Mus musculus: one gene and its partner. The protein of the gene in region 1 binds, or shares a complex with, the protein of each later gene. Links are inferred from orthologs where the notes say so. Each region holds a gene or a part of one and is shown in the gene's direction. Other genes may lie near its edges.

Region 1 (5,459 bases):
GATCTAAGCATCTGCTCAGTTATTTGGTTGCTGCCCTCTGTGGATCCTAGGCCAGTGTGGTTGCTGTGGGGTCCCTGGTAGAGAGGCTTCTGCAGTCAGCTGGAGATGGGCTGGGGGACTGGCTGAGAGGGTCCCAGGAAAGGGGCCAGGGAGACCCCAGTCTCACCAGTCACAACAAGGGGCAGGATCCCAGGCACAGAGGAGGTGGGAGGAGGGGCTCCTACATGCAAGGGCTGGAGGACACCCTCAGTGACACTTATCCACATGGCCACTGGGAAGCTCCTAAGGTCCCAAGTACACATACTTAGGCTCTGACTGTTCACTACCACCAATAATGAGAGGGTCATGTCCCCCCTGAAAGTGGAAGTCAGGGGCTCCCCTGCTGGGGGTGGGGGGTGTTCAGCACAGCGCTCACAGAAATCTACCCACTTGGCCTCCAGAATCAAATGCATCGGCCACCACTCCCAGGCCCAGGCAATGCTCTCTTCTCCAAGAAACGTCTTTGCCCATGTCCCCTTCCTTTGCACACTCATGGCTTCTTTGGCCAACTGTAGCAGCCTAAGCCCCTTGGTCTACAGGGTAGATGGTGGGCTCAGTGTACTTGGCAAAAACTTGTCTTTCCCAGTTGGGATCAGCCTAAGTTCTCAGGCAGGAACTGGTGATGATCTGTAGATGAGCTGTCAGACGCACATCAGGACAGAATGGAGGCATCTGGACTTCCAAGGACAGACCTTGCCAGTCTTGGTGGCACACGCCTTTAATCCCAACACTGAGAGGCAGAGGCAGGCCATTCTCTGCGCTGTTGAGACCTGGTCTCTATACCAAATTTCAAGTCAGCACACTCCCCCAAAGAAAAGGAGAGGGCTGGTGAGATGGCTCAGTGGGTAAGAGCACCCGACTGCTTTTCTGAAGGTCCGAAGTTCAAATCCCAGCAACCACATGGTGGCTCATAACCACCCATAATGAGATCTGACTCCCTCTTCTGGAGTGTCTGAAGACAGCTACAGTGTACTTTCATGTAATAAATAAATAAATAAATAAATAAACAAATAAGAAAGAAAGAAAAGGAGAAAGGGGCGTTCCTGTGAACTCCCATTGTATAGTTGGAAGGGTTTAGCCCTGGAATCCCTTTCCCTAGGATTCATTTTCTCACCACCTTCTCAAACTTTTCACGAGTTAGCCCACCATATACACACTTGTTTGTTCATTGTGTGTATGCCCGCACATCGATTGTTTTCATTTTAGATTTTTAGTCGTTTAACTATGTTTATCTGTGTGTCTGCATGTGGGTATAGACCTGTAAGTGTGGCCCTTGGAGGCCAGAGGCATCAGACTCTCTGGAGCTGGAGTTACAAATGGCTGGGGGCCACCTCATGTGGGTGCTTGCATCCGATTTCTCATGTAAAGTGCAGATACACTAATAAAAACTTGTATAAAAAGGGAAATTGAGGCACATGAACCTGGCTGTTCATCACTGGTCTCTTGCTTTCTTTCGAGACAGGGTTTTCTCTGTAGACCTGGCTATAGAGCAGGCTGGCCTCGAACTCACAGATCTGCTTGCCGAGGACGGGGATTAAAGGCGTGGACTACAGCCCGGGAGACGCCTAAGGGAGGGAAATAAAACTGTTATCAGGTCAAGTATCGCGAGATCTTCCCGACGCGCGACACCGCCCCGGTGAAGGCTGGGGCTGCCCAACGCGCAGCCTGTCGTGGAAAGTAGGTTTATTCCGGCGTTCACCTTAGACAGCACGAACCTGGGCGGGGGCCTTCCCAGCCCTTGGCGCAGGCGCACTGCCGGGGGGCGGGGGGCATTTTGTGCGTCCGGCGCAGGCTCCGTGCTGGCAGCTCCACGAGCGCGCGTGCACAGTTGTTTGGGAAGCGCGACAGCATGGACGACGAGGAGGAGACCTACCGGCTGTGGAAGATCCGCAAGACGATCATGCAGGTGATCAAGCGTGAGGAGCTTTATGCGAGCGAGCGTTCAGTTGCGGACTAACTGCGGGTTGTCCGCCGAGGCCCGCCTCCCGCAGGGGCCAATCCTCCTGGATTGGAATGCATCCCCGTTTAAAGTGTGGAGCCCACCCACGCTGGCTTCAACTCTTAGAAATCCTACTGCTTCCACCTCCTAACTCTGCCTCAGGGGAAAAGGCCTGGGTGGGCTCCGTTTCGGGAGAGGGGGCTGCTGCGTGGTCACACTTGGTTTTATGCGAGCTAGGTAGCCGCCCACACGAAAGCTATCAACCATCTGTAACCCCAGTTCCAGGGGATCTGACGCCCTGTCCTGATCTCTGGGGACTCCAGACACACATAGGATGAAAAAACAGTATTTTTAAAAACAGAACAAGCCGGTATGATGGTACACGCCTTTAATCCCAGCACTCTGGAGGCAGAAGCAAGCGAATCTCTTTAAATTAGAAGTCAGCCTCATCTACATAGTGATTTCCAGAATAGACAAAGTCACGCAGAGAAACCCTGTCTTGAAAAAGAAAAAGGGAATAAAAGAAAAAATTCTTGGTTGTTTTGAGTTGAACACATGAGACACCATTATTAGATAAAGAGGTATGCATAGTTTTGACTTATGCTGTGTTGGTGGAGCCCAGGGCCACCTCATGCCTGTTCCTCAGCCCTGATCCTGGATGATGCTCTAGTCTCCCTCATCAGGAACACTCAAGACTGGGGACAGGAAGGTGCCTGTATTCAGAAGGTTGCCTACAGTTGCCAGGGGATTAATCCCAGCCTGCTCCACTGAGGTTGGGGGGAGGAGAGGCTTGGCCGGGCCGCTGTGGTCTGAGCCTATACAGAGTTTGGGTACTGCTGGATCAGTTCAGTGTTAGTCCCCAGCCTCGGCCATTCAGGGTCAGGTCTGCGAGCTAAGTGCTCAGGCTGACTGCCTCTTTGCCTCTTGTCTCTGCAGCTGTGTCATGACCGTGGCTACCTGGTGACCCAGGATGAACTGGACCAGACACTTGAGGAATTCAAGGCGCAGTTTGGGGACAAGCCCAGCGAAGGACGGCCAAGGCGCACAGACCTCACGGTGCTGGTGGCCCACAACGATGACCCCACAGACCAGATGTTTGTGTTCTTCCCAGGTGAGGCCCTTGGGCTGGCAGGAGTGGTCTCCTCCAGGCCCTGGCTCAGGTGCCAGTGAATGCATGTCCCACTCTGGCCTAACGCTGCCTGTAAGATTGTGGCAGCTGCCTGCTTTTGTCCCTGTCTCCCCTGGGAAGCCTCCCTTTTGCTGGTGTCGTTTTCATCCCATAAGCCCCAGAACCAGCTCTCAGCCCTCCACCCCCTGGCTCCTATATGCTGTATTCTATAGCTTCTGCCTGGGAGTCCCAGGGCCAGCTATGCCACCCCCACACCCCCTGTGTGCTGTATTCTACAGCTTCTGCCAGCAGCGCAGGTGTCTTGTGGGAGTGAAGGCTATTGGGGAGCCCAGGACCTCCCTGTGCAGCTACATTCAGTCTCCCCAGACAGCTTGCCTCTTTTAATACCTAATGCTTTGTGGCCCCGGGACCTGGTTTTTAGTGTGAGAATTGGGGGGTGCGGGGATGGGCATGGTAGCATATGCCTGTAAGCCCAGTGTTTGAGAGGCAGAGGCAGGCAGTCGAGGCCAGCCTGGTCTATACAATGACTTCCGGGACAACTATGGAGGGCATTGGTTCTCAGCCTTCCTGATGCTGGGACCCCTTAGTACACTTCACATTGTGACCTCCAACCATAAAATCTTCATTGCTAATTCATAACTAATTTTGCTACTATTATGAGTCATAATGTAAATATACCTGTGTTTATCCAGCAATTTGCAAACTAGGTGGCCTGGGTCTGCTCCTGCGCTCTGCCTGAGGAGACAAGGCTAGCCTCATGTAGACACAGGGTCCATCTCTTGGTCAGTCAGTTTCTCCTTGAGGCTGTCTAAGCTGACAGTACCATATCCCCCAAACCCCAGAGCTGCTGAGAGCCCCCACCCCCGTTCCAGGGGGGCCGCAGTTCCTGCATACCCTGCAGCTTCTGCAGTGATAGCTGAGCCCCCTGGCAGCCCCATCATGGCTGCCTTGATGTTCTAGTCTTCCCTTGCAAGCAGAGAAACTAAGACCACAGGCTCCAGTAGTGAGTGTGAGGGTGGTGCTTGTGTGCCCGCAGAGGAGCCCAAGGTGGGCATCAAGACCATCAAGGTATACTGCCAGCGCATGCAGGAGGAAAACATCACACGGGCGCTGATTGTGGTGCAGCAGGGCATGACGCCCTCCGCCAAGCAGTCCCTGGTGGACATGGCCCCGAAGTATGTGCTGGAACAGTTTCTACAGCAGGAGCTGCTCATCAATATCACAGAGCACGAGGTGTGTGTGGTGGGGTGGGGCGTAGTGCTGCCTGCATCCAGGACACGGGCCGGGGCGGGGTGCTTCCCCGGTTTTGGCCCTGAGCATCCAACTTGGTGATATTAATAGCCTGGTTTTGTCCTCTGTCCCAGCCCCATGACAATACCCATTAGTCTGTTGGTCTGTTGAAGTTCCTGATGGCCGCGTGCCTGTGGGTGGGTCTCTGTCTCCACAGCTAGTCCCTGAGCACGTGGTCATGACAAAGGAGGAGGTGACTGAACTGCTGGCTCGATAGTATCCTTTACTCTGTCCCCACACCCCCCTCACCCCAGCGCTGCCCGCCAGCTGCTTCCTTGACTGTTCTAGCAAGCTTCGTGAGAGCCAGCTACCCAGAATCCAGGCCGGGGACCCAGTGGCACGGTACTTTGGGATCAAGCGAGGGCAGGTGAGAAGCCACAGTGGTTGTTCCCCTCCTAGGCCCTTTGGGAATTATTGGATCTCCCTGGTTCCTCCATCTCCTCCCTGTCTCTGAGGCCAAGACCACCATTGCCATAGGCCAGTGGTCCCAAGGCCCTGCCACCACCACTCCCTCGCCTGCCTGCTCCCACAGGTCGTGAAGATCATCCGCCCCAGTGAGACGGCTGGCCGCTACATCACCTACCGCCTGGTGCAGTAGCCGCAGGTGAGCCCAGCACTGCCCAGATGAGCCTGCTACTTGTCCTTGACCCGGTAGAGGGTCAGAGCTGCACCCACAAAAATAAAATGTAACGGGAGGGTAGGCTTGAATCCTAATGCCCAGGGGCAAAGGCAGGCAGATGTCTGTGAGTTCCAGACCAGCCAGGGCTACATAGTAAGCCTCAGAAAGCAAGCAAACAAACAAACCCAAAACAACCCATACTCTTGCCAGGGGAAACCTAGTGCTCAGAGACTGAAGCAGGAGGATTGCTGCACATCTGTGGACTCCTTCTCGGTGTGAGTGTCTCCAGGAAAACAATGAAGAGGAACCCACAGCTGCACCGCATGCAGGGAAACCCAGAGCCCACTGCTCTGCACAGCACCCTGACAGCTGTGGGCCACAGCCTGTGGGTCATAACTGGATTGCCTTTTGACTGACGGGTTCCGTCCTGGCCATTGTCGCAG
Region 2 (4,377 bases), on another chromosome or scaffold:
GTTTGTGCAACAGGATCTTAGCAGCCTCACAATGAACCATTCTTTGGAATTTTACAAAGATGTCATTCTTGGCACCTAAACTGAAAATCATTTGTGCCTAACCCATCATTTTCCATTTATGAATCCAGTTTAATTAGAAAGTAGTTTATGAACAGTGCCCCATTTTTCAAGTGTAATTTGAAATAGCAGATGGCAGACGTGCACATTACCTGCTTGCCCAAGCCTAAATGCTTACTCATTCACACTCATGCCTTTAGCAAAGCCAACTATAGAAGGTGTGGGAGGCAGGCAAACCGCCTGGGGAACCCAGGCCTCATTGAGCTCGTTGCTGCCACCTGCTGGGGCCTGTTTGTGGAAGGCTGTCCAATAGACAGATGCTAAGCTTTCCAGTGACCTCACCGAGCTCTAGTCTCTGCTGTTACATTTCTAAAAGACAAGCCTGGTAGTAGTGGTGCATGCCTTTAATTCCAGTACTCAGGAGGTGGAGGCAGAGGCAGGCTGATCTCTCAGTTCCAGGCCAGCCTGGTCTACAGAGAGAGTTTCAGAACAGCCAGAGTTACATAGTGAGACCTTGTCTCAAAAAGAAACAAACTTCTAGATGGCAGCCTATCTGTGGGTTAATGGATTGTGCTCCATTGTTTCAGATCAGCAGGTAGGGATTTGACTATTTGGTAACATGGCCCCTTGAGGTTCTGAGAACAAAGGATATCAAGAGCTCAAAATCCCTGGAGTGTGGGAGCTGTAACAGCCTCGGAGCAGATAGCGTGATCTTCAGAATCTTGGCTAGGGACTTGGACAGAGAAAGGAAGAACACAAATTTGAGCTCAGTCTGGACCGCCTAATGACACCATGTCTCAAAAAAACAAGGACAGTTTGGGTCTGGTGGCACTTGGAGGCAGAGCCAGGGAGATCTCCCCTAGTTTAGGGCAAGCCTGGTCTACATAGAATGTTGCAGGCTAGCCTAGGCTGTATTGTCAGACCCTATTTATAAAGGGAGGGGTCATAGTGGCAAATGCCTTTAATCCCAGTACTCTGAAAGCAGAGGCAGGTAAATGTCTGAGTTTGAAGCTAGCTGGTTTCATAAGAGAGTTCCTGGCCAGCCAGGGCTACAGAGTAAAATCCTGTCCATATGTGCACACACAGGGGTTTGTTAAAGATTCACACATAATGTGGTTTGGGTAGTAGTGCATTCGGTGCAAATATTATCTAGACAGGAGTTCTTCAACCATTAGTGCCTCTCGTTTTGGTGAATTATATATCCTCCTGCAGTGAGAAGAGCCATCTTGACATTGTGCCTAGTTCTTTGAAGCAGATACTCAGAAGTTGGATTGGGTGGGGTGTTTGTTAGTTGGTTGGTTGGTTGGCAGGACACATCACTTGTGAATAATTAGCTTTCTTTTCTAGAGGTTACTGTCATTTGTATTATTGGTCAATGGGTGCTTCAGTGGGCTTTGGCAAACAAAGGCAGGGTTTTGTAGTCCACTTAACACAGTCTTAATTTCCACGACTCCAGTAATCATTTGGGAAGCAGGTTCTGGGGACATAAAATAATGTAAGCCGAGCACAGGAAGCCTGCGCCCTCTCGTTCTTAGTCTTCTCTCTGCTATGGCAGGCTCGGGCAACACAAAGTTTCAGGCTACCCCTTTCCTTATTCCACAGGGAAGGGGTAGTCTGAAACTCAGAAGATCCATCTTAGGTCAGATGGGGTGTGGCTCACGATTTTATTCCCTGCACTCAGAAAACAGAGGCTCATGGAACTCTGGCAGTTGAGGCCTGTCTAGCATAATGAGATCCTGTCTTTAAAGAAAAGCATATCTTACAGAAGTAGGAGTTGTAGGTACTCATCATATGCTTGCTTGCTTGACTATTATTTCCTATCCCTACAGGGTGTGTCATTTATATGGATGCTCATAAAACTGTTGATTGTAGTCTGTGGACTGATTGTTAAGTCACTAAAGTCAAGAGCAGATTGCCCTCCATTGAATTCAGTAAACATGGAGCAGCCATTACAGTATATTTTCCTCTAGATTCCTCTCTGTTTAGGACTTCCAGGCCTTTGATGCACATGGTCCTGTGTTTAGTGAGGAATACGTTGTAGGACTAGAGAAATGGCTCAGTGGGTAAGAGCACTAACTGCTTTTCCGAAGGTTCTGAGTTCAAATCCCAGCACCCACATGGTAGCTCACAATCATCCATAGTGAGATCTGACGCCCTCCTCTGGTGCGTCAAAACATTGTAGAATCAGAAAAAGTTTGTTGAACCCTTTTATAGGAACCCCATTTGGGTTTTAAGGATGCTAGTTTTTGTTACTTGTGAGTATTTAGTGTATTTCATTTTAAGTGTTACTTCCTGCCTTGATAACCTCATCTGTGGTGCTTTTTTTGTTTTGGTTTGGTTTTTAGGGATACCTGAAAGAAATCTTGAAAGAAATTGGCATTCAGAATGTAAAAGGAATTCACAAGAACACATGGGAGCTGAAGCCGGAGTACAGGCATTACCAAACAGAAGAGAAGAGCGACTGAGAGACTCGTGTGCTAAAGAGTCAGTCACAGGCAGGCCTGGCCAGCCCACACCACAAGTTGCCTGCCTGCCTGCCTTGACAGGACAAAGACACCTGGGTCTACCACTCCTCTCAGTAAACTGTTAAAGCTGAGATTCCATAAAAGTTTCTTAAGTGTTTTCTGAAGAGAAAGATGTTATTTATAGACTAAACTCATGTTACACCATTCAGCGGGCATGCTGGCACATGAATGTGTCCAAAACTCAGGAGACTGAGGCAGGCAGGTGTGAGTTTGAGACCAGCCTGGAATACACAGCAAGACCTCCTCCATAGAAGAAAAAAATTATGGTATGGGTGGAGCTCTGGGAATTAAAACTACTTTTGTTTTTATTGGTTAACTTTGCAAGCGTAAATGGGATATCTCCTAAATGAAAATTTTGTCTCTGAGGAACTAAGGTAAGAAAGGAGAAAGGTGGGAGGCAGGGGCATCAGCTAAGAAATGATTACAGGAACACAGAGTCCAAATTCCTTCTGCAACTGAAGAGGGAACTTGTCCCTGTCTGCAGAGGTAATGTTTCACCTCCACACTTAAGTTAATAAAGAGATCTGTTCCCTTTGTACTAGATGGCAACTGTTATCACTGGCTGATTTTACCCTTGTGATACTGGAAAGAGAAACCGTCTAAACTCTAGACAGTTACTGTCCGCTTGGAGAGCTGGCTTAGTGGTCTGGGGCACACACTGCTCTTGCAAAGGATAGGAGTTTGGTTTCCAGCATCCAAGTCAGTTTCTTTCTCAGCTGTTTGTAATTCCAGCCTCAAGGGATCCATGCCCTCTTAGGTCTCCACAGGTCTCCGTGCTTATATGTCCATACATTCACACAGACACAGAAATGAAAATAATTTTTTTAAAAAAATCCCTTAAAATAACAATTGAAAATTAAGTAACATTCCAACTTCAAATTGTATCTCTCTAACCAGATATAAGCTCCTTGGAGACTGGCTTTAGCCTGAGAATTTTACTTCCCACTGTACGGGCAGGGGCTGACCCTTTGCTATCAGATTCTATTGCCAACTAAATCGGGGCTGTCAGGTGGTGCGCTGAGATAGCAAGGGCTGGCGCTGTCTCCCGGCACACCAGGACGCTCTTCTCGTCCTCAGTTGACTGTGGATGGAAACAGTCCATGTACATGATGAGTTTCTTCAGGACAGTGTCATGTGTTAACGCAGTCCAAAGTTGCTCCTGTAAAGCAGAGATGCTCCGACAAAGTAAGCACACAGAGAGGATGCTTAGAGAGAGGATGCCTGCAGCCAGGCGGTTCAGCTGCCAGAAATGTAAGAAAACGCAGAGTACTAAAAGCAAGGAAATAGTTTTTCATTAAGAGAAGGATCTTGCCATGTGATTTGCTCTTGTAAGGAAAATGTTGTCTTCGTCCTCCCACTATAAGCTACAGGTCTGCCTAAGGAAGGCAGTCCTAGTCACCACCCACCCTTAGTGCCTTACTGGCCTCATTCTGGGGTAGGAGCTAAATGTGGTCTGCCCCTTGTCGCCTCCTTTTTTAAATCTTTTATTTATTGTTTGACAATTTCATGCATGTATTCATTGATCATATCCACTCCAACCTCGCTCCCCTCCACTTCTTGATGCCTGGAAGCCTAGTGTCCAGAAGCCCGTGGGATGCTGTGAAAACTGCAGAGCCAAGTGTGCTGGGTACCTGCCACGTGCTTGGTAAATCATACAGTATGTACCTTCCGACAGAACTTGCCATTTTGTTCTGAGATGCTTCCCTGAAACATGAGGATGCCTCCTCTGCTCGGAGTTTGTTTTATAGATGCCAGTAACATCCTGATCTCATTAATAGAACATCCAGTCGGAAGT

Evidence for each region. The genes of interacting proteins can lie anywhere in the genome.
Region 2: Polr2e (region 1) and Gtf2f2 share a complex: the UniProt entries of both Homo sapiens proteins name them as parts of the TBP-based Pol II pre-initiation complex. The link is inferred for Mus musculus from reciprocal best matches to the Homo sapiens genes POLR2E and GTF2F2.

The regions. Positions count from the first base shown.
Region 1 is NC_000076.6:80,036,069-80,041,527, reverse strand, and holds the start of Polr2e (DNA-directed RNA polymerases I, II, and III subunit RPABC1), read left to right. Parts: upstream 1-1,868; 5' UTR 1,869-1,888; coding exon 1,889-1,945; intron 1,946-2,914; coding exon 2,915-3,089; intron 3,090-4,143; coding exon 4,144-4,340; intron 4,341-4,554; coding exon 4,555-4,613; intron 4,614-4,685; coding exon 4,686-4,764; intron 4,765-4,929; coding exon 4,930-4,995; 3' UTR 4,996-5,001; intron 5,002-5,226; 3' UTR 5,227-5,459. UniProt on the Homo sapiens protein: DNA-dependent RNA polymerase catalyzes the transcription of DNA into RNA using the four ribonucleoside triphosphates as substrates.
Region 2 is NC_000080.6:75,895,679-75,900,055, reverse strand, and holds the end of Gtf2f2 (general transcription factor IIF subunit 2), read left to right. Parts: intron 1-2,402; coding exon 2,403-2,522; 3' UTR 2,523-3,119; downstream 3,120-4,377. UniProt on the Homo sapiens protein: TFIIF is a general transcription initiation factor that binds to RNA polymerase II and helps to recruit it to the initiation complex in collaboration with TFIIB.